4 linked regions of the Anolis sagrei genome follow. The protein of the gene in region 3 interacts with the protein of the main gene of each other region in a biochemical or structural test. Links are inferred from orthologs where the notes say so. Each region holds a gene or a part of one and is shown on either strand. Other genes may lie near its edges. The genes, in order: THRA, NR5A1, NRIP1 and RXRA.

Region 1 (8,365 bases), on a different chromosome or scaffold from region 3:
CGGCCAATGTCAAAACTACTTTCCTAACCTTTGCAACTCCTTTTTAAAACAGTAACAACAATAATAACAATTGCAAACAGGAAGGAAGAGATTCATAAACGGGGGGAAGACGAGGGAAGATATGAATCCAACCTAAAAAGCATATACAAATACATATTTATATCCTTGGCAGTTGCAAGAATCTCTGGATTGCTGTGAGTTTTTCAAGCTGTATGGCCAAGTTCCAGAAGCATTCTCTCCTGACGTTTCGCCCACATTTATGGCAGGCATCCTCAGCGGTTGTGCGATCTGTTGGAAGCTAGACAAGTGGGGTTTATATATTTGTGGATGGGAGAAAGAACTCATGTCTGCTGGAGGCAAGTGTGAATGTGGCAATTAATCACCTTGATGAGTATACAATAGCTCTGCAGCTTCAAAGCCTGGCTGATTCCTCCCTGTGAATCAAACTTATCTCCAACACACAATAGTTCTGTCTTTCACCTTGGACCTTCCACAGATATATAAACATTACTTGCTTCATTTCCAACTGACATCACAACTTCTGAGGATGCCTGGCAAAGATGTAGGCGAAACGTCAGGAGAGAATGCTTCTAGAACGTAGCCATGCAGCCCGGAAGACTCACAGCAATCCAGTGATCCTGGCCATGAAAGCCTCTGACAACACAGTGCAATGTTTAATTCCAGAAGGGAATGTGCAAGGGAGGGGGTATAACTCAAATCCCAGTCCTATGTGTTTGTGTATATGTGCGTGTGTATACACACACACACACACACACACTAGCCATTCCCTGGCATGCGTTGCTGTGGCCCAGTCTGTGTATATGTGTTTTGTATGTGTATATATATTTGTGTATATATGTGTGTATGTGGTTCTGCACATGTGTTGCAATGTATTTTTTTGCTTTTTAAGCCTCTTCTGTTGTGGTTTTCAGTGTTTTTGTGAGTGATGGTCATTTGTTGGCCTGATAGGCGTCTTGTGTCCAAATTTGGTGTCAATTCCTCCAGTGTTTTTTGAGTTATGTTAATCCCACAAACAAACATTACATTTTTATTTATATCGATATACATACACACACATATATATGTGTGTGTGCATATATATGTGAGTGTATATAGATATATATATACGTACATATATATACACAATTCCTCCAGTGTTTTTTGAGTTATGTTAATCCCACAAACAAACATTACATTTTATTTATATCGATATACACACATATATATGTATGTGTGTGCATATATATGTGTGTATATATATATATATATATATATATACACACACACATATATATCTCTTTGTGCATATATATACAAATATGTGTGTGCATATATATGTGTGTATGTATGTATATATACATGCATATATATGTCTGTGTGTGCATATATATATGTGTGTGTGTATAGATATAGTTTTTCCTCCAGTGTTTTTTGAGTTATGTTAATCCCACAAACGAGCATTACATTTTTATTTATATAGACATACACATATATATGTGTGCGCATATATATGTGTGTGTATAGATATATATACATACACATATACACACACATATATATGTCTGTGTGTGCATATATATACAAATATGTGTGTGCATATATGTGTGTGCATATATATACATACATATATATACATACATATATATGTCTGTGTGCCTATATATACAGATGTGCGCGCGCATATATATGTGTATATATATATACACAGATATATATGTCTGTGTGTGCATATATATACAGATGTGTGTGCATATATATGTGTATAGATATATATACACAGATATATGTCTGTGTGTGCATATATATACAGATGTGTGTGTGCATATATATGGTTGTGTATATATATACATACATATATATGTCTGTGTACCTATATATACAGATGTGTGTGCGCATATATATGTGTATAGATATATATACACAGGTATATATATATCTGTGTGCGCATATATATACAGATGTGTGTGTGCATATAATGTGTGTGTGTATATATACATACATACATATACATACATATATATGTCTGTGTACCTATATATACAGATGTGTGTGTGCATATATGTGTGTATAGATATATATACACAGATATATATGTCTGTGTGTGCACTTATATACATAAGTGTGTGTGCATATATATATATATATATATATATATATACATATACACATGTGCATGTGTGTTTATATCTATGACATATTTTTAAACCTCAAGTTGGCACAACAACTCCCGTCCAAGCCCTTTATATATATTTTCCTGCAAACCCCAAGTTGGCACCAATCTCTTGAGCAGCGCAGTAAACAAACCAGGAAAAACACACATACACACACATATTTTTTAAAAGGGAAGTGTCTACAACTACAGAGCTGTCTCTCTCTTTTTTTTCTCCTCCTCCCCCTTTTATTTTTTTGCCCCTCCTTTAAAGCACTCTCTCTCTCCATTACTGGAGAGGCAGAACATATAGATATATAGATATATATATAGGTTAATGCCAAGCAGGGGGAGGAGGGGGAGAAAGAGAAGAGTAAGTGATGAGATTAAAGGAAGAGAGAGAGAGAGAGGGAGGGGGGAAAAACAGGGAGAGAAGGGATTGCTCTCCATATGAAATCCCTCCATGGAAAAGAGAAGGGGAGGGTGGGAAAAGGGTGGGAAAAGGGGGGAACCCTCCCCAAATCTTCAGATTTGCAACGTTGGCAGTGACAGGAACAGCTGCGATGGGACGGGGCAAGGAGGGTGGAGACAGCTGGAAAAATATATCTACATACATATACAAGGCTCAAAAGAGGGAAGACATATTGGGGTTCAGGAAGGACACCCTCTCCCTCTTCCAACCAAGCCACTCTTTGCCCACAAGCTTACCTTTGGCTGCTTCAGCGTCGCCTTTGCTCTCTCTCTCTTTCCCCCCCTCCCTTCTTCTTTGCAAGCAGGAAGCTGGCGTGGTGCTTGCCTTGCCCCCCCCCCTCCCCTTCTTCTCCTCCTCCCTCCTTTCCAAGCTGGAGTTTCCCTTGCTCTTCTTCTTTGGAGGAGGAGGAGGAGGAAGAAGAGAAGGAGGCGCCACCGACGAGGAGGTTTGTAAGATCCTGGAGGAGGAGGAGAAGCAGCAGGAGCAAGGGCAGCGGCGCTCGCCTGGTGCGTTGGTGTCACTAGAGCTGGGGAAATGGACTCGAGAGGCGAAGGGAAGGAGGCCGGCCCTGGCTCCTCCTCCTCCTCCTCCCTCTCCCTGCTTTTGCTGCTTCTGCCTCTCTTGCTGTTGCTGCCACCGCCGCCTTAGCTGACGCCTGCACCCTGCAGGCCGAGGGCGCGTGCTGCCAGGGAAAGAAGGAAGGAAAAGAGGGAAGGAAGGAAGGAGGAAAATACTCCCACCTCTCTCCCTCCCCAAAGAGGCGTCCCGAAGGCAAGTTAGTTGGACATGGCCTTCGGAATCCACGCAACTCCTTAACTACCCCGGCTCAAGGTTGTGGGATCCTGGGAGTTGTAGTTTTGCAAGGTCTTTTGAGTTCTTGCAACTCTAGCTGCTCGGGCTCAAGGCTGTGGAATCCCGGGAATTGTAGTTTTGCAAGGTTTTTTAGAGTCATTGCATGGCTCAAGGTTATGGGATCCTGGGAGATGTAGTTTTGCAAGGCCTTTCTGAATCATTTGCAATTCTTACCTGCCCAGGCTCAAGGCTGTGGAATCCTGGGAGTTGTAGGGTTGCAAGGTATTTTGAATCCTTGCAACTCTAGCTGCTCAGGCTCAAGTCTACGGAATCCTGGGAGTTGTAGTTTTTCAAAGCTTTTTAGAGTCAATGCATGACTCAAACTTATGGGATCCTGGGAGTTGTAGTTTTGCAAGGTCTTTTGAATCCTTGCAACTCTTGCTCAGGCTCACGGCTATGGAATCCTGGGAGTTGTAGTTTTTCAAAGCTTTTTAGAGTCAATGCATGACTCAAGGTTATGGGGTCCTGGGATTTGTAGTTTTGCAAGGTCTTTTGAATCATTGCAACTCTCAACTGCCCAGGCTCAAGGCTGTGGAACCCTAGGAGTTGTAGTTTTGCAAGGTTTTAGAGTCAATGCATGGCTCAAAGTTATGGGGTCCTGGGAGTTGTAGTTTTGCAGACTCCAGGCTATGGAGTCCGGGGAGTTGTAGTTTTGTAAGTTTTTTTTAGAGTCAATGCATGGCTCAAGGTTATGGGATCCTGGGAGTTGTAGTTTTGCAAGGTCTTTTGCATCATTGCAACTCTAGCTGCTCAGGCTCAAGGCTGTGGAATCTCGGGCATTGTAGTTTTGTAAGGTTTTTTAGAGTCAATGCATGGCTCAAGGTTGTGGGATCCTGGGAGTTGTAGTTTTGCAAGGACTTTTGAATAATTTGCAACTCTCAACTGCCCTGGCTCAAGGCTGTGGGATCCTGGGAGTTGTAGTTTTGCAAGGTCTTTTAGAATCAAAACATGGCTCAAAGTTATGGGATCCTAGGAGTTGTAGTTTTGCAAAGTCTTTCTGAATCATTTGCAACTCTTAACTGCCCAGGCTCAAGGCTATGGAATCCTGGGAGTTGTAGTTTTGCAAGGTCTTTGAATCAATGCAATTCTAACTGTCCTGGCTCAAGGCTGTGGAATACTGGGAATTGTAGTTTTACAGGGTCTTTGGCATCATTGTAACGTTAATTGCCCACACTCAAGGCTGTGGGATCCTGGGAGTTGTAGTTTTGCAAGGTCTTTCTGAATCATTGCAAGTCGTAACTGCCCAGGCTCAAGGCTGTGGAACCCTAGGAGTTGTAGTTTTGCAAGGTTTTAGAGTCAATGCATGGCTCAAAGTTATGGGGTCCTGGGAGTTGTAGTTTTGCAGACTCCAGGCAATGGAGTCCGGGGAGTTGTAGTTTTGTAAGTTTTTTTTAGAGTCAATGCATGGCTCAAGGTTATGGGATCCTGGGAGTTGTAGTTTTGCAAGGTCTTTTGAGTCCTTGCAACTCTAGCTGCTCAGGCTGAAGGCTGTGGAACCCTGGGAGTTGTAGTTTTGCAAGGTTTTTTAGAGTCAATGCATGGCTCAAAGTTATGGGATCCTGGGAGTTGTAGTTTTGCAAGGTCTTTTGGATCCTTGCAACTCTCAACTGTCCAGGCTCAAGGGTATGGCATCCTGGGAGTTGTAGTTTTGCAAGGTCTTTTGAATCATTTGCAATTCTTAACTGCCCTGGCTCAAGGCTATAGAATCCTGGGAGTTGTAGTTTTGCAAGGTCTTTTGAATCCTTGCAACTCTTGCTCAGGCTCAAGGCTATGTAATCCTGGGAATTGTAGTTTTACAGGGTCTTTGGAATCATTGTAACGTTAATTGCCCAGGCTCAAGGCTGTGGGATCCTGGGAGTTGCAGTTTTGCTAGGTCTTTGGAATAATTGCAACCCTGCCTACAAATGACATCTGGCTCAGTGAAGGTACTGACACTTTGTTTTTTCCCTTTGTACTAGTTGAGTATCCCTTACCTGAAATGTTTGGAATCAAAAGTATTTTGGGTCCCATCTACACTGCCATATAATCCAGTTTCTGAATCCAGATTGTCTGCATTGAACGGGACTATACGGCAGTATAGACTCATATAATCCAGTTCAATCTAGATTTAGAAACTGGATTATATGGCAGTGTAGGTCCAGCCTTGGATGTCCAATTTTTTTATTATTTTGGAATCCCTGTATTTGCATACATAATGCGATATCTTGGAGATTGAATTCAGATCTAGACAGTAAATTACTTTATGTTTCATATGCACCATATACAATTGTCCGAAAGGTCATTTTACACAATATTTTAAAAATAATTTTGTGCATGCGACAAAGACAAATGAGCAAATCAAATGGACCAACAGAAACCGTTTTACCTTGCACATTTCATGAAATGACATGACTCCTTAGAAAAAAATAATAAGGAAACGAGAATGGGTTCATCTACACTGTAGAATTAATGCAATTTGATGCCACTTTCACTGCTAGGACTCAGTGCTATGGAATCCTAGAAGTTGTAGATTAGATCCCAGCATGCTTTGGCAGAGAAGGCTAAAAACCTTGTAAAGTTATAAATCCTATTATTCCATCGTATTGAACCATAGCAGCTAAAATAGCATCAAACTGCATTCATGTTGTGCCCAAAGTCAAAGCCAACTCAATGTGAATTAACAGCAACACATTTTATGTATTTGGAGAAAGATTGAAAAGCTGCCTTTTGCATTTAGCGATTTCTGCTGTGTATATCTATATCTAACACTTGCATTGGTCTTCTGCCCTCCATGCGCCATCTATATAAATAAAAATGTAATGTTAGTTTGTGGGATTAACATAACTCAAAACCAACTGGGTGAATTGACACAAAATTTGGACACAATACACCTATCAGGCTAATGAGTGACCATCACTCATAAAACACTGAAAAACACAACAGAAGGGACTTAAAAAGGCAAAAAAGCAAAAAGATGCTACAGCGCACGCGCAAAAACGACTCCCCCAGCAAACAAAACACACAATAGCATAGCCACACTTGCTTCCAGACTACAGCTCCCAGCATCCTCTAGACCAGGCCCTTTAGGAGGAGAGGATGATCCAAATGCACTGCTTCCAAGATGCAAGCTTTCTTCTCCTTGGATTTCTATGAAAGCATCCCAATCTCTCCATATTTCCAATTTCCTATTCCCGGACTGTAACTGCCAGCAATCCTCCAGATAGCTAGATGACATAGAGATAGATAGACAGAGAGATCAGGAGGACTGGTGGGAGTTGCAGTCCAAGAATCGGTAGAGAAGGAAGAACAGGGAGAAAGAAGAAGGAGAGAAAGGGGCGGGAGGAATAGTCCAACAATAAACAATCATAAAATGACTAATAAACACTGGACATAAGAAAGGAAAAGTGGAGAAGTCCACCTTTGCAGCACCTTTGAGGCATAGTTTTGTTCATGATACATATGATGAAGCTCATACTGAAATATATGAAATATATACCCCTTGATGAATTGTCACCTTGTCGTTGTGAGGCGGCTTGCATGTTTCAATGAACCTATGGGCATAACCACTAGATTCATGCACTCCTGGGGGGGGGGGTGCACAGGGGAGGTTCCAGACCAAGCACAATCCGAAGACCTCAACATTGGATCAGGCAGAAGATAACATGGCACATGTTACAATGGCTGTGAAGGCAGAAGAAGGTTGCACCAGATTGAGAAGCCACTGTCGTGGTGTTAATTACGCCACTGGTTGGGACCCCCACTCTGTGAAGACTGCGTTTTGATTGGCTGTGAACCAACTTCCACATATTTAAAAAAAAACACAAGTGTCTTCCAAGAACTTGAAAGGCCATCACACTTGGACTATGAGGAATCGCTTAGGAGGAGGACTGAACTATATCACTCTGTCTCAAGTGTACTTTCAAATGTCACTTGCATATTCCTTATTTTAGGACAGGTTAATAAGGTTATTGCCTCAAAAATTGTGAACAAGCATTGAGTAGACATACATACTGGGCTCTTAGTAGACTTTGTTCTTGTGGGACATCCTGCAGCACATTTTTCTAAAGTTTTTCAATGAATATCACATCGAGTCTCGACTAATTTAACATATGAGGGATATCTGGAAAGTATAGTTACAAGATTTTTTAAAAATACTAAGAATGAATATATTTTAATAAAACTTACATGGATTATAGCATTATTTTCCACATAATCACCATTCAGTTTAATACATTTTGTTATCAGTATGATGAATTGTTATGCCTGTGTCATAGAAGTTTCTTTCCACCTTTTTCATCCAGTTCGTCACTTCGATTTTCACCTCATGGTCAGAAAAGTGTTTTCCACCAAGGTGTTCCTTCAGTTTAGTGAACAGATGATAGTCACTGGGTATGAGATCGTGGCTGTGAGAGCGGTGGCTGAAAACACCCCAACCAAATGAAGTCAATAACGCTTGTGTTGCATGAGCGGTGTGCAGACACACATAGTCATGAAAGAGACAGACTCCCGCCATCAGCATCCCACGACGTTTGTTTTGGATGGTACTGCAAAGTTTCTTCATGGTCTCACAATATCTTGCAGCATTGATTGTTTTACCTCTTTCAAAAAAAAAAATCAATAAGCAGACCTCCTTTTCTGGCCCAAAACACTGATTCCATGAATTTTCTCACGATGAATCGCAGCGGCTTTCATACACTTAGTATTTAGGTAGCGTATTATAGCGCAAATTTTGCACTTGGAGGGAAACGGAATGAGGACGCTCATCTCTAACCTTCACCACAACGCCCGTTGATGAGCTACTGGCAACTGGCACTGCTCGTTCATTTTCACTGGCTTCCCATTACATGGCAATGACACCAACTTCCCCTGCAAAAATTCCCCACGAGAACTATGCCTTGTAATTTTACTTTCCA
Region 2 (7,718 bases), on a different chromosome or scaffold from region 3:
CACCACATCACATTGTTGGCTCATGTTTAACTTGTTGTCCACGAGGACTCCAAGAATTAATAAATGCACGCACACACACACACACACATATATATAATGCAATATTTTTAGCAAAATTACATGTAATGTATAATATACTAGCCGTCCCCTGCATGTGTTGCTGTGGCTCAGTCTATGTGTGTATATGAGTATATGTGTGTTTGCGTGTATATACATATGTGTGTGTGTGTGAGGGGGGGGTTTTTGCAAAATTACATGTAATGTATAATATACTAGCCGTCCCCTGCATGTGTTGCTGTGGCTCAGTCTATGTGTGTATATGAGTATATGTGTGTTTGCGTGTATATATATATGTGGTTTTGTGCATGTGTTGTAATGTAATTTTTGGGTTTTTTGGCCTTTTAAGTCCCTTCTGCTGTGTTTTTCAATGTTTTCATGAGTGATGGTCACTCTTTGGCCTGAGAGGTATCTTGTGGCCAAATTTGGTCTCAGTTCATCCAGTGGTTTTGGAGTTCTGTTAATCCCACAAATGAACGTTGCCTTCTTATTTGTATAGATATAATAATTATTATATTGTTTTGTATTATTAGCATTGTGTTACATTATTATACAATATAATAATGTAATGGGGGCCCGCAGTGGGTTAGACCGCTGAGCTGCTGAACTTGCTTACCGAAAGGTCACAGGTTCGAATCCGGGGAGCGGGGTGAGCTCCTGCTGTCAGCCACAGCTTCTGCCAACCAAGCAGTTGGAAAACATGCGAATGTGAGTAGATCAAAAGGAAGGTAAGGGTGCTCCATGCAGTTATGCCAGTGGCCACATGATCTTGGAGGTGTCTACGGACAATGCCGGCTCTTCAGCTTAGAAATGGAGATGAGCACCAGAGTCCCAGAGTTGGTGAGCTTCCACTGTCAGCCCCAGCTTCTGTCAACCTAGCAGTTCCAAAACATGCACATGTGAGTAGATGGGTAGGTACCGCTCCAGCGGGAAGGTAAGGGCGCACCATGCAGTCAGGTCAGCAGTTCGAATCCGGGGAGCGGGGTGAGCTCCTGCTGTCAGCCCCAGCTTCTGCCAACATAGCAGTTCCAAAACATGCAAATGTGAGTAGATGGGTAGGTACCGCTCCTGCGGGAAGGTAAGGGCGCACCATGCAGTCAGGTCAGCAGTTCGAATCCGGGGAGCGGGGTGAGCTCCTGCTGTCAGCCCCAGCTTCTGCCAACATAGCAGTTCCAAAACATGCAAATGTGAGTAGATGGGTAGGTACCCGCTTCAGCGGGAAGGTAAGGGCACTCCATGCAGTCAGGTCAGCGGTTCGAATCCGGAGAGCAGGGTGAGCTCCTGCTGTCAGCCCCAGCATCTGCCAACCTAACAGTTCCAAAACATGCCAATGGTACTACTCCAGTGGGAAGTTAAGGACGCTCCATGCAGTCTTGCCAGCTACATGACCTTGGAGGTGTCTACGGACAACGCCAGACATTTGGCTTAGGAATGGAGATGACCACCAGAGTCCCAGAGTTGGTGAGCTTCCGCTGTCAGCCCCAGCTTCTGCCAACCTAGCAGTTTGAAAACATGCAAATGTGAGTAGATCAATAGGAAGGTAAGGGTGCTCCATGCAGTCCTGCCAGTGGCCACATGCCCTTGGAGGTGTCTACGGACAACGCCGGCTTTTCGGCTTAGGAATGGAGATGAGCACCAGAGTCCCAGAGTTGATGAGCTTCCGCTGTCAGCCCCAGCTTCTGCCAACCTAGCAGTTTGAAAACATGCAAATGTGAGTAGATCAATAGGAAGGTAAGGGTGCTCCATGCAGTCATGCCTATGGCCACATGCCCTTGGAGGTGTCTACGGACAACGCCGGCTCTTCGGCTTAGGAATGGAGATGAGCACCAGAGTCCCAGAGTTGGTGAGCTTCTGCTGTCAGCCCCAGCTTCTGCCAACTTAGCAGTTCGAAACCATGCCAATGTGAGTAGATCAATAGGAAGGTAAGGGCTCTCCATGCAGTCAGGTCAGCGGTTTGAATCCGGGGAGCAGGGTGAGCTCCTGCTGTCAGCCCCAGCTTCTGCCAACCTAGCAGTTCGAAACCATGCCAATGTGAGTAGATCAATAGGAAGGTAAGGGTGCTCTGTGCAGTCCTGCCTTGGAGGTGTCTACGGACAACGCCGGCTCTTTGGCTTAGGAATGGAGATGACCACCAGAGTCCCAGAGTTGGAGAGCTTCCGCTGTCAGCCCCAGCTTCTGCCAACCTAGCAGTTCGAAACCATGCCAATGTGAGTAGATCAATAGGAAGGTAAGGGTGCTCTGTGCAGTCCTGCCTTGGAGGTGTCTACGGACAACGCCGGCTCTTTGGCTTAGGAATGGAGATGACCACCAGAGTCCCAGAGTTGGAGAGCTTCCGCTGTCAGCCCCAGCTTCTGCCAACTTAGCAGTTCGAAACCATGCCAATGTGAGTAGATCAATAGGAAGGTAAGGGTGCTCTGTGCAGTCCTGCCTTGGAGGTGTCTACGGACAACGCCGGCTCTTCGGCTTAGGAATGGAGATGACCACCAGAGTCCCAGAGTTGGTGAGCTTCTGCTGTCAGCCCCAGCTTCTGCCAACTTAGCAGTTCGAAACCATGCCAGTGTGAGTAGATCAATAGGATGGTAAGGGTGCTCTGTGCAGTCCTGCCTTGGAGGTGTCTACGGACAACGCCGGCTCTTTGGCTTAGGAATGGAGATGAGCACCAGAGTCCCAGAGTTGGTGAGCTTCCGCTGTCAGCCCCAGCTTCTGCCAACTTAGCAGTTCGAAAGCATGCCAATGTGAGTAGATCAATAGGAGGGTAAGGGTGCTCTGTGCAGTCCTGCCTTGGAGGTGTCTACGGACAACGCCGGCTCTTTGGCTTAGGAATGGAGATGACCACCAGAGTCCCAGAGTTGGAGAGCTTCCGCTGTCAGCCCCAGCTTCTGCCAACCTAGCAGTTTGAAAAGATGCAAATGTGAGTAGATCAATAGGAAGGTAAGGGTGCTCTGTGCAGTCCTGCCTTGGAGGTGTCTACGGACAACGCCGGCTCTTTGGCTTAGGAATGGAGATGACCACCAGAGTCCCAGAGTTGGTGAGCTTCTGCTGTCAGCCCTAGCTTCTGCCAACTTAGCAGTTTGAAACCATGCCAATGTGAGTAGATCAATAGTAAGGTAAGGGCTCTCCATGCAGTCAGGTCAGCGGTTTGAATCCAGGGAGCAGGGTGAGCTCCTGCTGTCAGCCCCAGCTTCTGCCAACCTAGCAGTTCAAAACCATGCCAATGTGAGTAGATCAATAGGAAGGTAAGGGTGCTCTGTGCAGTCCTGCCTTGGAGGTGTCTACGGACAACGCCGGCTCTTTGGCTTAGGAATGGAGATGACCACCAAAGTCCCAGAGTTGATGAGCTTCCGCTGTCAGCCCCAGCTTCTGCCAACTTAGCAGTTCGAAACCATGCCAATGTGAGTAGATCAATAGGATGGTAAGGGCTCTCCATGCAGTCAGGTCAGCGGTTCGAATCCGGGGAGCATGGTGAGCTCCTGCTGTCAGCTCCAGCTTCTGCCGACCTAGCAGTTCGAAACCATGCCAATGTGAGTAGATCAATAGGAAGGTAAGGGTGCTCTGTGCAGTCCTGCCTTGGAGGTGTCTACGGACAACGCCGGCTCTTTGGCTTAGGAATGGAGATGACCACCAAAGTCCCAGAGTTGATGAGCTTCCGCTGTCAGCCCCAGCTTCTGCCAACCTAGCAGTTTGAAACCATGCCAATGTGAGTAGATCAATAGGAAGGTAAGGGCTCTCCATGCAGTCAGGTCAGCGGTTCGAATCCGGGGAGCAGGGTGAGCTCCTGCTGTCAGCCCCAGCTTCTGCCAACCTAGCAGTTCGAAACCATGCCAATGTGAGTAGATCAATAGGAAGGTAAGGGTGCTCTGTGCAGTCCTGCCTTGGAGGTGTCTACGGACAACGCCGGCTCTTTGGCTTAGGAATGGAGATGAGCACCAGAGTCCCAGAGTCGGACTGGACTGGACTTAATGCCAGGGGAAAGCCTTTCCTTGTACCTTCTTTGGAGGTTTCGAAACAGAGGTGTGGTGGCCATCTGTCGGGGTGCCGGGCCCCCCAAAGTAAGCCCTCTCTTGCTGGAGGGTCTCCAGGGGGTGCTGGGCCCTCCTTTCTCCTTTGGCCGCCTTCTTTCTCCCTCCTCCTCCTCCTCCCTCTCTTTCTTTCTTTCTTTCTTTCTTTCTCCCCTTGTTTTGTTTTGTGTTTTTTCCTCCCTCCAAAGAGGAGGGCACATCAGGCGCATCAGCAGCATCAGCATCAGCCTCAGCCGCCCTGCTCTATAAAAGCCTCCCCTCTTCTTCCTTTCCTCCCTTCCCTTCTTCTTCTTCCCTTCCTTTCCTTCCTTCCTTCCTTCCTAGGTGAAGGATGGACTACTCCTACGACGAAGACCTGGACGAGCTGTGCCCGGTGTGTGGGGACAAGGTCTCGGGGTACCACTACGGGCTGCTCACCTGCGAGAGCTGCAAGGTAAGACCCCCAAAGACCCCAGGACACATGGAGATGCATTCTATGGCAATGTGGACTCGGATAGTCCAGCTCAAAGCCCACCTGGTGGGTCACCTGCCTTGATGTTCTGGGCTCCATGGCTGTGTGGGAGAAGGGTCCCATCAAGGCGCCCCGGCTTCGGAAACTTTTGCGCACTCCTGATAGGAAATAATCGGGATCCAAAAGTATGAAGCGCATCCTGTGCATGGTCTGCCTTGATACCATATCATTAGTATATTACTATTACTAGTATATATAATTGCGGATATAATGTACTGTGACTAGTAATATTGCAGTATAGTAGTGTAGTACAATGTGATCGTTAATCATACGAATTCTGTGCTATGCTAATAATATAATATAATAATAATATTATAATATATTATAATAATATATTGATGTGTCTAGTAATATTGCAGTATAGTAGTATAGTACAACGTGATAGTAAATCATACTAATACTGTGCTATGCTAATAATATAATATAATATAATATAATATAATATAATATAATATAATATAATATATATAATATTATTATTATAATAATATAATCATATATTAATGTGTCTAGTAATATTGCAGTATAGTACAGTGTGATAGTAAATCATACTAATTCTGTGCTATGCTAATAATATATATATACATATAATATTATTAAAATATAGTATAATAATATATTAATGTGTTTAGTAATATTGCAGTACAGGACATGTGATAATATACTAATACTCTGCTATGCTCAAAATATATATACGTATAATATTATAATAATATTGTTATAATATAATAATTTTTTTATTTATTGCAGTATAGTAGCATAGTACAATGTGATAGTAAATCATACTAATTCTGTGCTATGCTAATAATATAGTATATATACATATAATATTATTAAAATATAATATAATCATATATTAATGTGTTTAGTAATATTGCAGTACAGGACAGTGTGATAATATACTAATACTCTGCTATGCTCAAAATATATATACGTATAATATTATAATAATATTGTTATAATATAATAATATTTATTTATTTATTGCAGTATAGTAGTATACTACAATGTGATAGTAAATCATACTAATTCTGTGCTATGCTGATAATATATAATACATACATAGAATATTATTATAATATAATAATATATTGATGTGTCTAGTAATATTACAGTATAGTAGTATAGTACAATGTGATAGTAAATCATACTAATACTGTGCTATGCTAATAATATAATATAATATAATATAATATAATATTATATATATATATATATATATATATATATATATAATCATATATTAATGTGACTAGTAATATTGCAGTATAGTACAGTGTGATAATACATCATACTAATACTATGCTTTGCTAATAATATAGTATATATACGTATACCATTATAATATTATAATATAATAATATATTATTTATTTATTGCAGTATAAATAGATAAATAATATTGCAGTATAGTAGTATAGTACAGTGTGATAATATATCATACTAATACTGTGCTTTGCTAATAATATATTATATATACGTATAATATATTATTTATTTATTGCAGTATAAATAGATAAATAATATAGTAGTATACTACAATGTGATAGTAAATCATACTAATACTGTGCTATGCTAATAATATATTATATATACATACAATATTATTATAATATAATCATATATTAATGTGACTAGTAATGTTGCAGTATGGTAGTATAGTGCAGTGTGATAATAAATCATACTAATACTGTGCTATGCTAATAATATAATATAATATAATATAATATAATATATATAATATTATAATAATAATATAATATATTAATGTGACTAGTAATATTGCAGTATAGTACAGTGTGATAATACATCATGCTAATACTGTGCTTTGCTAATAATATAGTATATATACGTATACCATTATAATATTATAATATAATATTATGCTATGTGCTATGCTAATAATATATTAGATATACGTATAATATATCATTTATTTATTGCAGTATAAATAGATAAATAATATAGTAGTATACTACAATGTGATAATAAATCATACTAATACTGTGCTATGCTAATCATATATTAATGTGACTAGTAATATTGCAGTATAGTAGTATAGTACAGTGTGATAATATTATATTATTAGCATAGCACAATATCACCTACTTTCCCATAAGATATATTGGTTTTTAAACCATGCTCTCCTTTTAATTGTATATTGAGAAGGGCAGCATATAAAGGGAACTCAGAGCGGCTTACAAGATATATATATATACACACACACACACACACACACACACAATATATATATATTATATTATTAGCATAGCACAATATCAGTATTATAATACAATATTATATTATAATAAAACACCTACTTTCCCATAAGATATATTGGTTTTTAAACCATGCTCTCCTTTTAATTGTATATTGTTTTTGCAATACTTTGTGTTTTGTCTAATTGTATATTGTTTTTAAGGCATTGCATTATTGCCGATGTTGTGAGCCGCCTTGAGTCGGGGTCGAGAAAGGCGACATATAAATATAGTAAATAATATATAAATACAATATAATATAATATTATAATGTATTAATACAATTGTAAATACAATATAATATATGATAATATATTGCTATGCTAATATAGTAATATATAAATACAATATAATACATTAATATAATATAAGAATATAATAATAAATACAATATAATATAATATTATAATGTATTAACATAATTGTAAATACAATATAATATATGATAATATATTGCTATGCTAATATAGCAATATATAAATAGAATATAATACATTAATATAATATAATAATATATGAATATAATATATAATATAATATAATAATGTATTAATACAATTGTAAATACAATATAATATATGATAAAATAATATAATGTATTGCTATACTAATATAGTAATATATAAATACAATATAATAATATAATAATTTATGAATATAATAATAAATACAATATAATATAATATTATAATGTATTAATACAATTGAAAATACAATATAATATGATAAAATAATATAATATATTGCTATACTAATATAGTAATATATAAATAGAATATAATAATATAATAAGATATGAATATAATAATAAATACAATATAATATAATATAATAATGTATTAATACAATTGAAAATACAATATAATATATGATA
Region 3 (8,188 bases):
TGCATTTACCCTCAATGGACATATACCCCTGGATCACAATCTACATTTCGATTTCATGAGATATAATTGGAAATAAATTTATAAATGGCTTTCTCTTTTTGAAGAATGAAACACAGTTTTACTTATATTGCTTCTTAGGGCAAAGGAAGTGGGGATCATTGGTTATAGCTCACATGGAGAAGCTCCCAAATATCAGGAATCCCACCCACCGAACTTAAGTTGTTGTGCCTTTTCTGTATTTCAACTACCTTATGTTTGGAGGTTTAGAAGATGTTTCTGATGCAAAAACCCTTGAAACAATGTATATAACTGTACAAATAATACCAGACAGCAGACTCTCTTCAAGATTTTTAGATGGTGGGAGCTGACTATTGCATTGCATGTTTAAAAGAAATGATCTGTAATTGGTGAATTTAGTATTATTTGAAAGTATGTTCATTAGTAGGTGACTTGGATTCCTGAAAAAAGGATGTAATTTAAGTAAAGTTGTTGTTGTTGTTGTTGTTGTTGTTACTATTATTATTCATAGTAGTAACAGTAGTAGTGTTGTCAAAGGTTTTCATGGCCAGAATCACTGGTTGCTTTGAGTTTTCTGGATTTTATGGCCATATTCCAGAAGCATTCTCTCCTGACATGTCACCCACATCTATGGCAGGCATCCTCAGAGGTTGGGGGGGGGGAACTAAGTAAGTGAGGTTTATATATCTCTGGAATGTCCAGGGTGGGGAAAGAACTTTTGTCTGCTTGCTGTAAGTGTGACTGTTGCAACTGGCCACTTTGATTGGCACTGAATGGTCTTGCAGCTTCAAAGCCTGGCTGCTTCTTTCCTGGGGGAATCCTTTGTTGGGAGGTGTTAGCTGGCTCTGATTGTTTCCTGCCTGGAACTTTGTTGTTTTTTGAGTGTTGCTGTTTATTTACTGCCCTGATTTTAGAGTACTTTTTAAATACCAGTAGCCAAATTTTGTTCATTTTCATGTTGAAATTGTCCACCTGCTTGTGGATTTCAATGGCTTCTCTGTGTAGTCTGACATGGTGTTGTTAGAGTGGTCCAGCATTTCTGTGTTCTCGGATAATATGCTGTGTCCAAGCTGGTTGATCAGATGCTCTGCTATGGCTGACATATCAGGTTGAATTACTCTGCAGTGCCAAACAGACAACAGTTCACTCCCCCACCCTGGACATTCCACAGATATATAAATTTCACTTGTCTAGTCTCCAACAGAATCCTCAACCTCTGAGGATGCCTGCCATAGATGTGGGCAAAATGTCAGGAGAGAATGCTTCTGGAATATGGCCATACAACCTGGAAAACTCACAACTAACCAACAGTAGTATATTTTTATATATTTTTTCTACCTCAACATGGCAAATGTTTAGTTCTGATAGTCACCGAGGCAGGGCAAGAGGATGGAGACTTTTGTCCAGGACTATGTTGCTCAAAGACTATGTGGAAAGTGATGTGAACCCTGCAAAAGGGCATATTTAAACACATTTTTAAACCATCCCAGTTTAACCAAGGTGTGACATCTCTGGAAAACTAGCAATATAAAACATTGCCTGTCTGGTGCATTATTATAATTTTACTTCACCATTTTGAGACAAAAATAAACAGGCTATACTACTGTTGGGTTGTGAGTTTTCGGGGCTGTAGATTCCTGACAGAGCAGAGCTTTCCAAACTGTTTTGTGACAGGTTAGTGCAGGTATGGGCAAATGTTGGTCCTCCAGGTGTTTTGGACTTCAACTCTCACCATTCCTAACAGCCTCAGACCCTTTCTTTTTTCTCCTTAGCCACATAAGCATAAGCAGCTGAGCAGGGAAGGAAGGGGCCCGAGACTGTTAGTAATGGTTGAAGTCCAAACCAACTGGAGGGCCAACGTTTGCCCATACATGTGTTAATGTGTTTGCTATAGTGCAGTGGTCCATGGACCACCAGTGGTCCCCAAGAACGAAAATATGGTCTGTAGCCTCACCATTAGTACACCATTGCCTCGAAACCATGTGGCATTGAGAGTGACTGATCTCACGAAACCCTCTTACAGTGCCAAGGCAACAGGGATGTCAGAAGGGGAGAGGCTGATTCCTCATGAAAGGGTACTACTACAACATCAGCTCTAGATTATTAAATAGGTGGGGGGTTTTTTGTGGGCAAACCGATGATGACTACCGAATGGTATATTGTATCTTCTGTATCTTCTGTATCAGAAACTAGAGCTGACTAGAGCCGTCTGCAAAGACATTACCCTCGGGATGCCCAGATTTCTGATGTGTTACTATCCTTGTGGGGAGCTTCTCTCATGCCCTCCCCCCCCATGGGGAGCTGGAACTGACAGAGGGAGATCATCTGCGCTCTCCCTGGATTTGAACCTTCGACCTGTCGGTCTTCAGTCCTTCCAGTACAGGGGTTTAACCCACCGCACCACCGGGGAAATGTTGATCAGCCACCAGTACCTTGGCAGCTACCTCTCCACAAAAGTCAACATTGACACTGAAATACAACACCACCTGAGCTCTGTGAGTGCTGCTTTTTTCTGAAAGAAGCAGAGAGTGTTTGAGGACTGGGACATCCGTAGGGATATCAAGGTGCTTGTTTATAAAGCAATTGTCCTCCCAACCCTGCTATACAACTGCTAAATGTGGACTGTCTACAGACATCACATGCAACTCCTGGAACTATTCCACCAGCGCTGCCTCTGGAAAATCCTGCAAATCTCTTGTGAAGAGAAGCAGACAAATGTCAGAGTGCTGGAAGAAGCAAAGACCACCAGCATTGAAGTGATGGTCCTCCGCCATCAACTCCGCTGGACCGGCCACGTTGTCCGGATGCCCGACCACCGTCTCCCAAAGCAGTTGCTCTACTCCGAACTCAAGAATGGAAAACGGAATGTTGGTGGGCAGGAAGTGATTTAAAGATGGGCTCATAGCCAACCTTAAAAACTCTGGCACAGAACTGGGAAGCCCTGGCCCTTGAGCGCTCTAGCTGGAGGTCAGCTGTGACCAGCAGTGCTGTAGAATTTGAAGAGGCATGAATGGAGGGTGAAAGAGAGAAACGTGTCAAGAGGAAGGCGCGTCAAGCCAACCCTGATCGAGACCACCTTCCACCTGGAAACCAATGCCCTTCACTGTGGGAGACAAGCCCGTAGCCAGGATTTCGTTTCGGGGGGGGGGGGGTGTGAATTTTTTTCAGGGGGGTTTCGGGGGGATGAGTTTCAGGGGGGGGCTGAGTCTGAGTGAAAGAGTGTCTACCCTAGCAAACCTTTTGTATCATTACCCCAATACCCCCATGCATATGGGATATATTGAGTATGGTGATCAGATCATGATATGAATAAACATAACAGTTTAAGTAATGCACCAGTAAAGCCTTTTCGCGAACCACCATGAGAATTTCGGGGGGGGGGGGGGCTGAAGCCCCCCGAGCCCCCCCCCCCCCCGGCTACATGCCTGGTGGGAGAAGATGCAGATCAAGAATAAATAATAATAATAATAATAATAAAACTTTATTTATACCCCGCTACCATCTCCCCAAGGGACTCGACGCGGCTTACATGAGGCCGAGCCCACAGTACATCAGCAAAAAACATCAAAGCAGTAATACAAAACAATAAAATAAAACTCATAAACAAAAAATAGGCAGTAAACATCGATAATAACACAGTAACATTTAAAAACCAATGGTTGGGCCAAATGTAATAGTTAAAATTAAAAAAATAATGCGGGACAAGACCAGGTGAAATATAACTAGAATAGAATTTCGGAAAAGAATGGGGTGTACAGACAGTTCTAGATCACTAATAAGGTGTAATTAGGAACATATTGGTGGGAGTTTCCTTATTCTGGGAAGGCACACTGGAACAACCACGTTTTCAAGCTCCTCCTAAAAATTGCCAAAGTTGGGGTGTGCCTAATATCCTTGGGGAGGGAGTTCCAGAGTCGGGGGGGGGGGCACCACCGAGAAGGCCCTCTCCCTCGTCCCCACCAATTGCGCCTGCGATGGAGGTGGGAGCGTGAGTAGGGCCTCTTCAGATGATCAAAGAGATCATGTGGGTTCGTACACAGAAATGTGGTCATGCAGGTAGGCAGGTCCCAAACCATTCAGGGCTTTGTAGGTAAGAACCTGCACCTTGAAGTGGGAATAGGGCTCCACAGTCACCTACAGACCCACCACCAGTACATTGATCTTGGAAGACTATCCTACTCGGACAACGAGGGATCGCCTAAGGAAGTAAGTAAAGTACCACCGGGGACTCCTACTGGAGCTGATGTGGTCTACCCAATGCCATTTTCTGAATCAGCACCTCAAATAACCAAAGAGAATCTAAAGTTGACTGAAAACTGATTTGTAACCCTTTTGGTACTAATGTTGGAGAGTGGTCCCTGGTCAAAAGAAAGGTTGAGAACCACTGCTGTAGTGTGTAAATGTTATGAGAAATGAGAAGAAAAAACATCTTTGGAATATGTTATGATGTTACCCATCATTTCTCCCCCCCCCCCCCCCCGAGATGTATTGTATTCCTTGTTACAATGGCTACTATGTCTTGGCCCTTCCCTCTTCTCAAGGGTCTGTTGAACCTTGGGCTTTGCTAGTAAACCTGCGTGACTGTCGCAAAAGGAAGCCTGCCTTCAAAGTGTGTCACCAACAAACAGGAAGGGTTTGAGGGAAGCTGCGTGCAGTCCCGACCGAGCCTGGAGGTGTCCCTCCCCGCCCTGGCTTCCCAAGGCATCTGCCTTCCTGTGTCAAGGGGGTGGCGGGGGAGAGAGAGAGAGAGAGAGAGAGAAAGGGGGGAAGGAAGAAAACCCAGTGAGAAACTTGGCTGGAGCGATGAATGGCGAGGAGAGGAGGCGGGTGGAGGGATTGTGACAGGCGGAAAGGAGGAGGGAGAGAGAAAGGGAGGGAGAGAGAAGAGAGAGAGAGAGAGGGCAGGCGGGAGAGGAGGGAGGGAGGGAGGATCACAGGCTGCGGGTGAAGCTTTGAAAGTCAGCCTCACAGGCATTGCAGCAGAGCCCCGAACCGGAGAGAGAGGAGGAGGAAGAGGAGGAGGAGGAGGAGACTCGAGGCGTCTTTTCCTGTGGAGAGCCAGCGAGAGGCGCAGGAGGAGACCCGAGGGGGCGAGAGACGCCTGCCTTCCTCCCTGCTCTGCGCCTTCCCCGTTTCCCTGGCCATTCAAGCCTCCGGAGCCCGGGCGTTTTGGCCAAGCGAGGCAAAGGAGAAGAGGCCAAGCAGAGCGAGGCGGCCAAGGGTGAGTCGAGTGCCTGCTTGGCGACGCTGCTGCTGCTGCTGCCACCGTGGCTTGGCTGGGCCGCCTTTCCCCTCTTACGGAGGGGGAAGGAAGGGCGAGAGAGGGAGGAGGAGGAGCAGGAGGGACGGAGGAAATGGCCGCGGAGGTTGGCGGGGGGCTTTGGGGAGAGGCAGAGGGAGAAGAAGGCAGAGAGAGAGAGAGGGAGGCAGAGGCGCTGCCCTGGCAGATGGGCAGGAGCGCGGAGCCAAGAGGCGAGAGGGCTCAGGGCGCAAAGGGAGCCTCTCATTAGTCTTCTTCGCCTTTGAATAACAAGCTCGGGAAGCCAGGCTAGGAGCTGTCATTCCCGAAGGAGGGAGGGAGCATATCAACAACATTGTTTCCGGTAGCAGGCAGGCAGGTTTTCAATCCCCCCACCACCACCCACCACCACCTTTCCCTCTCTGAAATGGACACCTTACAACCTCACAACCTCTGAGAATGCCTGCCATAGATGCAGGCGAAACGTCAGGAGAGAATGCTTCTAGAACACGGCCAATTGAAACATTGACACCTACCTCCAACAGACAAGAGTTCTTTATCCCACCCTGGACAACCCACAGATATACAATCCCCATTTTCCTAGTTTCCAACAGACCTCTCAACCTCTGAGGATGCCTGCCACATATTTGGGCGAAATGTCAGTAGATAATGCTTCATGGCCAGACAGTCTGGGAAACTTACAAAAAAACAGTGATTCTGGCCATGAAAGCCGCCAACAAAACGTTGGACACTTAAAGTTTGATCATCCCTTAGGGCCCTTCCGCACAGCCCTATAGCCCAGGATATCAAGACAGACAATCCCACAATACCTGCTTTGAACTAGGTAATCTGCATCCACACTCAGATAATGTGGGGTTTTCTGCCTTGATATTCTGGAATATAGAGCTGTGTGGAAGGGCCCTCAGATAACTCAGTTCAAACCAGATATTGTGGGATGTCCTGCCTTGATATTCTGGGATATAGGGCTGTGTGGAAGGGCCCTTAGACATGGGTGGGCAGGGAAAAGTTGGGGTCTCCCCCTTCCCCTCAGTGCCTCTTTTGACTGATTGAAATCACCAGGAATCCCCTGAAATGTTCACCTCTTCTGCCTTGTATTCCCCAGCCCTTTTACACAGCCCTACATCCCAGAATACCCAGGCAGAAAATCCCACATTATCTGAGTGTGGACGCCGATAACCCAGTTCAAAGCAGATATTGTGGTATTTTCTGCCTTCATATTCTGGGATATAGGGCTGTGTGGAAGGGCCCTGAGTATAGGTTCAGATAACCCAGGGCCCTTCCACACAACCATGTAACTCAGAATATCAAGCCAGAAAATCCCACAATATCTGCTTTGAACTGGGTTATCTGAGTCCACACTGCCATATATTCCAGTTCTAAAGCAGATAATGTGGGATCTTATTCAGCTTTGTGGAGGGGGGTGGGGTGCCAATTCAAAGCAGATATTGTGGGATTTCCTGCCTTGATATTCTGGGATATAGGGATGCCAAGAAGCCCCCCCCCCCCTTTCCCTGAATTATCCCAAGTCTTGTGCGCCATGGCTGCGGCGGCGCCTCTCAGGAAGCCAAGCTGGGCACAGGCTCGCACAGCTTTGAAAGATCCATGCACTTTGACTGCCATGGCTCTGTGCTAAAACTCTCTGGTGTTGCAGTTTTACAAGGTCTTACGCCTTCTCTGCCCAAGAGTGCTGCCGCCTCACCAAGCTACACGTGGCTATGGGCCCTTCCACACAGCCCTATCTGCCAGAATATCAAGGCAGAAAAGCCCACATTATCTGAGTGTAGACCCAGATAACTCAGTTCAAAGCAGATATTGTGGGATTTTCTGCCTTCATATTCTGGCATATAGGGCTGTGTGGAAGGGCCCTATGATTCCAGAGCACTGAGCCCTTGTGTGCTGGCAGGATTGCTGGTCAGTGGTTCAAATCCAGGGAGAGCGGGTTGAGCTCCCTCTGTCCGCTCCAGCTCCCCATGCGGAGACATGAGAGAAGCCTCCCACAAGAATGGTAAAAAATCAAACACCTGGGCTTCCCCTGGGCAATGTCCTTGCAGATGGCCAGTTCTCTCATGCCAAAAGCGACTTGCAGTTTCTCAAGCTTCTCGTGACACAAAAAAGGGCCCGTCAACACTCAAACATATAACTCAGAATATCAAGGCAGAAAATCCCACAATACCATCTTTGAATAGAGGGTGGTGCAATGGGTTAAACCCTTGTGCCGACAGGACTGAAGACTGATAGGTGAGTGGGTAGAATCTGGGGAGTGCAGTTTGCGCTCCCTCTCCCCATGCAGGGACATGAGAGTAGCTTCCCACAAGGATGATAAAACATCAAACATCTGGGTGTCCCTTGAGCAATGCCCTTGCAGACCGCCAATTCTCTCACACCAGACACGACTTACAGTTTCTCAAGTTGCTACTGACATGAAAAAAAAAATCTTTGAACTGGGTTATCTGAATCCACACTGTCATATATTCTAGTCCAAAGCAGAAAATATAGGATTTTATTCAACTGTGTAGAAGGGGTCTCTGACTGCATCCATTCCACAGTTGGGGTGCCCCCTTGGTCTCCCCTCTTTGCCTCCTCCTCTTCCTCCTCAGCTCTCCTTTCAAAGGGATGATCTCCCCTCCTTAGTCGCCTGCAAAACCACACCAGGCAAGGCCATGCCTTATGTCAGTCTCTGCTCAGCTCCTGTTATTTATTCACTCCCTTTCCATATCCAAACACATGCACCCAACCAGGGCTGGAGACCTTCAGATTTTTTAGTCATGATTCTTCCGCCCCCTCTCATGTGTCACAGACAAACCCCCACACCATCCTCCGTAAAAGGTGCTTTCTCATCATTTTGATCATATATACACTTTTGTGCCCTCCTGTAACCAGTCTTCTTTTGAGGCAAAGGTCTCTATTTAA
Region 4 (7,655 bases), on a different chromosome or scaffold from region 3:
CCTTCGTTCCCTTCTTTCTTTGGATTTCCTGCAGAGAGCTTCCAAAAGTCTCCTCCTCCCCTCCTTCGGAGACTCTCCGCCCAATGCCAACTTCCAAAAACTGGAGGAAAGGAAGTCAGAAAGAGAGGGAAAGAGAAAGAGAGAGAGAAGGAAAGAAAGAAAGAAAGAGGGAGGGAAGACGAGAAGAGAAGAAGAAAGTAGGAGGGAAAAAGAAAGTAGAAGGAGGGAGGAATTGTTGTTGCTGCTATTATTACCATTATTATTATTATTATATTACTATATTATTATTATTATATTACTATATTATTATTATATTATTACTATTATTATATTATTGCTATTACTATTATTATTATTATTATTATTATTATTATTATTACTATTATTACCTTGCTTTTAACTCAAGGCACAACACCCAAATCAGCTCACAACCTTTGGAAACTATACAATTCAAAGCATACAAAAGTAAATCTTAAAATAAAACCCAGGAAGGAAGGAAGGAAGGAAGGAAGGAAGGAAGGAAGGAAGGGGTAGGGAAGAAAGGAAGAACGTGAGACCCCTTTCACACAGCTGTATAAGATCCACATTGAGCTGGATGATATGGCAGTGTGGACTCAGATAATCCAGTTCAAAGCAGATATTGTGGATTATCATCGGCCTTGATATTCTGGGTTATAAGGTGGTGTGGAAGGGTCCAAAGAGGGGAGGAAAGAGGAAGCAGAAAAGAAAGAAATAGAAAAAAGTGAGGGGATGGAAGGAAGGAAAGAGAGAGAGGAAGAAAGAAATAGAAAAAATAGGGGATGGGGAAGAGAGGAAGGAAGGTGAGAGAGAGAGAGAGAGAGAAAGAGAGAGAGGAAGGAAGGAAGGAAGGAAGGAAGGAAGGAGAAGGGAAGACAGAAAGAAAGAAAGAAAGAAAGAAAGAAAGAAAGAGGAAAGAGAGAGAAGGGAAGAAAGAAATAGAAAAGAGAGGGGAAGGGGGACCGAAAGGGAGGGGAATGAAGGAAGGAGAAGGGGAGAGAGAAAGAAAGAATGAAAGAATGAAAGAAAAGGGGAGGAAAAAGAGAGGAAAGGAGGGAGGACAGTGAGAGAAAAGGGAAGAAAGAAATAGAAAAGGGAGGGGGAGAGAGGAAGGGGAAGGAGAGAAAGAAGGAAGTGAAGAAGGAAGAAAATAAATAAATAGAAAAATACAAGTTAAAGGAGTGGTGGAAGGAGAGAGAGAAAGAAATAGAAGAAAGAGGAATAGAATGGAAGAGTGAAAGGAGGGTGGAAGAAGAGAGATAAGGGAGGAAGGGGAAAGAAGAGAGAAAGGAAGGAAGGAAAGAAGGAAGGTGAGAGAAGGAAAAAAAGAAAAATAATAAAGTGAAAGGAATGGAGGAATGAAATAAGGGAGGGAGAAAGAAAGAAGGAAGGAAGGAAGGAAGGAAGGAAGGAAGGAAGGAAGGAGAAGGGAAGAATGAAAAAGAATTAAAGTGAAATGGAGGGAGGAAACAAGGAAGAAATGAAGGCAAGGAGGAAGGAAGGAAAGAAAGAAAGAAGGAAGGGAGAAAAGAAGGAAGGAAGGAAGGAAGATGGAAGGAAAAAGGAAGGAAAGAAGGAAGGAAGGAGAGAGAATGGAAGAAAGAAAAAGAAATAAAGTGAAAGGGAGGAAGGAAACAAGGAACAAATGAAGGCAAGAAGGAAGGAAAGAAAGAAGGGAGGGATGATAGAAGAAAGGAAGGAAAGAAGGAAGGAAGGAAAGAAGTAAGGAAAGAAAGAAGAAAGGAAGGCAAGAAGGGAGGGAGGAAAGAAGGCAGGAAGAAAGATGGAAGGAAAAAAGGAAGGAAGGAAGGCAGGAAGGAGAGTGAGAGAAGGGAAGAAAGAAAAAGAAATAAAGTGAAAGGGAGGGACGAAAGAAGGAAGGAAGGAAAGAAGGCAGGGAGGGAGGGGAGTAAGAAAAGAAGGAAAGAAGGAAGGAAGGAGAGTGAGAGAAGGGAAGAAAGAAAAAGAAATAAAGTGAAAGGGAGGGACGAAAGAAGGCAGGGAGAGAGGGAAGGAGGAAGAAAAGAAGGAAGGAAGGAAAGAAGGAAGGAAAGGAGGAAAGAAGGAAGGAAGGGCCCAGATCCTAGTGCAGTTTACCCAGTCCACACACACACACTCTCTCTCTCTTTCTCTCTCTGGGCCACTTCTCTCCAAAGCGCAAACCCTTTTCCTCGCTTCCCGTCCGACTGAACTTCGAGCTCCCCCAAAACACTCTTTGAGCCGAGGCAGCCAGTTGGGACTCCCCCAAAGCCGTGTCAACCCAAGAGGCAACCACCGAGGGCCGAGAACACAACGACAGCCGCAACCACACACCCCCAAAGGCTCCCTTTCCCCTTCCTTTCCAAGGCCTGCCTGGCTCCATTGCCACAAGCCGAGCCAGAGTGGAGAAAGCAACTGCTCTCTCTGCATTGGGCATGGCGAGAAAGAAGGGACACTCCCCCATTATAGAAAGACATAGACGCATATAACCTATATGGGGACCATCCTGAGACCCTCTTTTGTCTAACTGGACCCTTTGGGGGAGGGTTCCCCAAAAGCTTTACTTGGAAAAGGGGCTTTTTTGCAAGCCCCCCAAACGCGTGCGCTTTTACGCACGGCTTTTTACGCATCTCGCCTTGACGTTGTTGTTGTTTGGGGTGCTCCTCTTCCTCCTCCAATCCTCCCCCTTTTTCTCTCTCTTTTTCCCCCCTTGATTCCCCACTTTTTCCCCTAAAGGATATAGGAAAAATCGGGGGAGGAAGAGCCCCCCAAAAACTCACCCAAAGGGAGGAAATGTTTGGTGTCCATCTCCTTCTTTGCGCCGCTTTTTTTTTAACTCATTGCCAGATGGATTTTGGAGAGGTTTCTTGTTTTGTTGTTGTGTTCTTTTTGGGAAAGGGGGAGGGTCTCTGGTTCTCCTCTCGGTCCGCCTTTTAGGAGCAGAGCAAGCCCTCCCCCTCTCTCTAAAATATAACAAGACAAAAATCCGGAATAATACAAAAGTCCAAGGAAAAGAAGGAAAAGAAGGCCGACTTTCCTTGTTTTTCTCCCCTTTTGCGCCTCTCCAAAAACTCGTCCAGAGAAGAAGGGAACTCAAAAGAGGGAGAAAGAAGAAGAAGAAGGAAAAAAATACCCAGGGAAAAAAGTACTTGGGCTCGCGCTCTCGTGGGTGGGCGCGGGCACGAGCGCCTGCGCGCGCGCGCTCGCGTGGCTTGCGTGTCTCCAAAGAAAAGAAACTCCAAGGGGGACCCGACTCACGAAGGGGGAAACGCGAGGGACGACGCCATTGAGGCGCTTTGGGGGGGACTTAAAGAACCTCGCCAAAAGGGAAGGACACCAAACAAAACCCAAGTTAGACCTTGGGCATCCCTCTAAGTCGTGGCCAGGACTATCAATCCCAAAACTCCCCCACACCAAAAAAAAGAGGAATGCTGGGAACTGTCGCCTCTCTCGCCAGCCTTTGCCAACTCTTGTCGAAGGCTGGAATCATTGGGTTGCTGTGAGTTTTCCAGGCTGTCTGAAAAAACTCACTACCTCTAAGGATGCTTGCCATAGATGCAGGCGAAACGTCAGGAGAAAATGCCTCTAGAACAGTGGTTCTCAACCTGGGGGTCGGGACCCCTGGGGGAGTCGCGACGGGGTGTCAGAGGGGTCGCCAAACTCCATCAGGATACACAGTATTTTCTGCTGGTCATGGGAGTTCTGTGTGGGAAGTTTGGCCCAATTCTATCATTGGTAAGGTTCAGAATGCTCTCTGATTGTAGGTGAACTATAAATCCCAGCAACTACAACTCCCAAATGTCAAGGTCTATTATCTCCAAACTCCACCAGTGTCCACATTTGGGCATATTGAGTATTTGCGCCAAGTTCAGTCCAGATCTATCATTGTTTGAGTCCACAGTGCTTGCTGGAGATAGATGAACTACAACTCCCAAACTCAAGGCCAATGCTCATCTAACCCTTTCATTATTTTGTGCTAGTCATGGGCGTTCTGTGTGCCAAGTTTAGGTCAATTCTATCTCTGGTGGAGATCAGAATGCTCTTTGATTGTAGGTGAACTATAAATCCCAGCAACTATAACTCCCAATGTCCAGAGATTGAAAATACATCCTGCTTATCAGATATTTACATGACGATTCATAACAGTAGCAAAATGCCAGTTATGAAGTAGCAACGAAAATAATTTTAGGGTTGGGGGTCACCACAGCATGAGGAACTGTATTAAGGGGTCGCGGCATTAGGAAGGTTGAGAAACACTGCTCTAGAACATGGCCATATAGCCCGGAAAAAACCTACAACAACCCAGTGATTCCGGCCATGAAAGCCTTCGGCAATACAATGTCTGGAAATATTCCAGAAGCACTCTCTCCTGACGTTTCGCCCACATCTATGGCAGGCACCCTCAGAGGTTGTGAAGTCTGTTGGAAACTAGGGAAATTGGGTTTCTATATCTGGGGAATGATGTCCACTCTGTCTCTTGGAAGCAAGTGGAAATGCTGCAATTGACCACCTTGATTTGCATTGAAAAGCTTAGCAGCTTCAAGGCTTGACCACTTCCTGCCTGGGGGAATCCTTTGTTGGGAGTTGAGCCTGATTGTTTTTTGTCTGGAATTCACCTGATTTTTGAGTGTTGTTCTTTACTTACTGTCCTGACTTTAGAGTGTTTTAATACTGGTAGCCAGATTTTGAATGGACTTGCAGTTTCAAGGCTTGGCCGCTCCCAGCCTGGGGGAATCCTTTGTTGGGAGGCATTATATGGCCCTGATTGATTCCTGTCTGGAATTCCCATGTTTTGAGTGTTGTTCTTTACTTACTGTCCTGATTTTAGAGTGTTTTAATACTGGTAGCCAGATTTTGAATGGACTTGCAGCTTCAAGGCTTGGCTGGTTGCTGCCTGCGGGAATCCTTTGTTGGGAGGTGATTCTGATTGTTTCTTTTCTGGAATTCCCCTGCTTTTTGAGTGTCTTTACTTACTGTCCTGATTTTAGAGTGTTTTAATTAATACTGGTAGCCGGATTTTGAATGGACTTGCAGTTTCAAGGCTTGGCTGCTTCCTGCCTGGGGGAATCCTTTGTTGGGAGGTATTAGATGTACCAGATATTTTCTTGTCTGCAATTCCCCTGCTTTTTAGTGTTGTTCTTTACTTACTGTCCTGATTTTAGAGTGTTTTAATTAATACTGGTAGCCAGATTTTGAATGGACTCGCAGCTTCAAGGCTTGGCTGGTTGCTGCCTGCAGGAATCCTTTGTTGGGAGTTGAGCCTGATTGTTCCCCTGCTTTTTGAGTGTTGTTCTTTACTTGCTGTCCTGATTTTAGAGTGTTTTAATTAATACTGGTAGCCAGATTTTGAATGGACCTGCAGTTTCAAGGCTTGGCTGCTTCCTCTTTAAGCCGCTCCTCATAGGGCAGTGGTTCTCAACCTTCCTAATGCCGTGACCCCTTAATACAGTTCCTCATGTTGTGGTGACCCCCAACCATGTAAATATCTGATATGCAGAATGTATTTTCATTCATTGGACCAATTTTGACAGAAATACCTGATATGCCCAAATTTGAATACTGATGGGGTTCGGCGAGGGGTGATAATGATTTTGTCATTTGGGAGTTGTAGTTGCTGGGATTTATAGTTCACCTACAATCAAAGAGCATTCTGAACTCCACCAATGATGGAATTCAACCAAACTTGACACACAGAACTCCCATGACCAACAGAAAATACTGGAAGGGTTTGGTGGACATTGACCTTGAGTTTTGGAGTTGTAGTTCACCTACATCCAGAGAGCACTGTGGACTCAAAACAATGATAGATCCGGACCAAACTTGGCATGGATACTCAATATGTCCAAATGTGAACACTGGTGGAGTTTTGGGAAAATAGACCTTGACATTTAGGAGTTGAAGTTGCTGGGATTTATAGTTCACCTACAATCAAAGAGCATTCTGAACCCCACCAACGATGGAATTGGGATAGAACCCAAACTTCCCACACAGAATCCCCATATCTTGAAGGGACTCACTGGCATGAGCCTCCCTCCATCCTCACACACTCTCCCTTGCCCACACATTCACACCTTGGAGTTTGGGGAAAATAGACCTTGACATTTGGGAGTTGTAGTTGCTGGGATTTATAATTCACCTATAATCAAAGACCATTCTGAACTCTACTAGCGATGGAATTGGCACACAGAACTCCCATGAACAACAGAAAATACTGGAATGGTTTGGTGGACATTGACCTTGAGTTTGGGAGTTGTAGTTCACCTACATCCAGAGAGCACTGTGGACTCAAACAATGATGGATCCAGACAAAACTTGTCACAAATACTCAATATGCCCAGATGTGAACATTGGTGGAATTTGGGGGGGAAATAGACCTTGACATTTGGGAGTTGTAGTTGTTGGGATTTATCGTTCATCTACTGGATGGGTTTGGTGGGCATTGACCTTGAGTTTTGGAGTTGTAGCTCACCTACATCCAGAGAGCGCTGTGCACTCAAACAATGATGGATCCAGACGAAACTTGGCACAAATACTCAATATGCCCAAATGTGAACACTGGTAGAGTTTGGAGAAAATAGACCTTGTCATTTGGGAGTTGTAGTTATTGGGATTTATCGTTCACCTACTGGATGGGTTTGATGGGCATTGACCTTGAGTTTTGGAGTTGTAGCTCACCTACATTCAGAGAGCGCTGTGCACTCAAACAATGATGGATCCAGACGAAACTTGGCACAAATACTCAATATGCCCAAATGTGAACACTGGTAGAGTTTGGAGAAAATAGACCTTGTCATTTGGGAGTTGTAGTTATTGGGATTTATCGTTCACCTACTGGATGGGTTTGATGGGCATTGACCTTGAGTTTTGGAGTTGTAGCTCACCTACATTCAGAGAGCGCTGTGCACTCAAACAATGATGGATCCAGACGAAACTTGGCACAAATACTCAATATGCCCAAATGTGAACACTGGTGGAGCTTGGGAAAAATAGACCTTGACATTTGGGAGTTGTAGTTATTGGGATTTATCGTTCACCTACTGGATGGGTTTGATGGGCATTGACCTTGAGTTTTGGAGTTGTAGCTCACCTACATCCAGAGAGCACTGTGGACTCAAAACAATGATAGATCCGGACCAAACTTGGCATGGATACTCAATATGCCCAAATGTGAACACTGGTGGAGCTTGGGCAAAATAGACCTTGACATTTGGGAGTTGTAGTTGGGATTTGCCATTCACTTATAATCAAAGAGTATTCTGAACCCCACCAATGATAGAATTGGGCCAAACTTCCCACACATGAGACCCCCATGACCAACAGAAAATTCTGGAGTGATTTGGGATTGATTGACAGTGATTTAGGGGAGATGTAGTTCACCTACATCCAAAGAGCACTGTAAATCCAAATGACAATGCCAAAGGGATTCCCAAGACCATCAGAAATGTGTTTTCTGATGGTCTTTGGCGACCCCTATGAAACCCCCTCACAACCCCCCCCCCCCCCAGGTGTCCCGACCCCCTGCCGAACTCTTGGGTTTGTAGTTTAGTGAAGCTCAGGACCTATCTGGCTGAGCATATGAAAGGCTCCTCCTCTAAACTACAAGCCCCAGAATTCTGCAGCAACCAGATTTAGTGGATCTATGCTGTAGTGCAGGCCTG

The links.
Region 1: the proteins of NRIP1 (region 3) and THRA form a complex in vitro, tested with the Homo sapiens proteins (4 studies listed by BioGRID). The link is inferred for Anolis sagrei from reciprocal best matches to the Homo sapiens genes NRIP1 and THRA.
Region 2: the proteins of NRIP1 (region 3) and NR5A1 form a complex in vitro, tested with the Homo sapiens proteins (2 studies listed by BioGRID). The link is inferred for Anolis sagrei from reciprocal best matches to the Homo sapiens genes NRIP1 and NR5A1.
Region 4: the proteins of NRIP1 (region 3) and RXRA form a complex in vitro, tested with the Homo sapiens proteins (2 studies listed by BioGRID). The link is inferred for Anolis sagrei from reciprocal best matches to the Homo sapiens genes NRIP1 and RXRA.

Annotation. Positions count from the first base shown.
Region 1 is NC_090026.1:40,792,435-40,800,799, forward strand, and holds the start of THRA (thyroid hormone receptor alpha), read right to left. Parts: upstream 3,211-8,365; 5' UTR 2,858-3,210; intron 1-2,857.
Region 2 is NC_090031.1:247,563-255,280, forward strand, and holds the start of NR5A1 (steroidogenic factor 1), read left to right. Parts: upstream 1-4,407; coding exon 4,408-4,509; intron 4,510-7,718. UniProt on the Homo sapiens protein: Transcriptional activator. Essential for sexual differentiation and formation of the primary steroidogenic tissues. Binds to the Ad4 site found in the promoter region of steroidogenic P450 genes such as CYP11A, CYP11B and CYP21B.
Region 3 is NC_090023.1:61,573,433-61,581,620, reverse strand, and holds the start of NRIP1 (nuclear receptor-interacting protein 1), read left to right. Parts: upstream 1-4,926; 5' UTR 4,927-5,239; intron 5,240-8,188. UniProt on the Homo sapiens protein: Modulates transcriptional activation by steroid receptors such as NR3C1, NR3C2 and ESR1. Also modulates transcriptional repression by nuclear hormone receptors.
Region 4 is NC_090031.1:5,343,159-5,350,813, forward strand, and holds the start of RXRA (retinoic acid receptor RXR-alpha), read right to left. Parts: upstream 3,206-7,655; 5' UTR 2,806-3,205; coding exon 2,778-2,805; intron 1-2,777. UniProt on the Homo sapiens protein: Receptor for retinoic acid that acts as a transcription factor.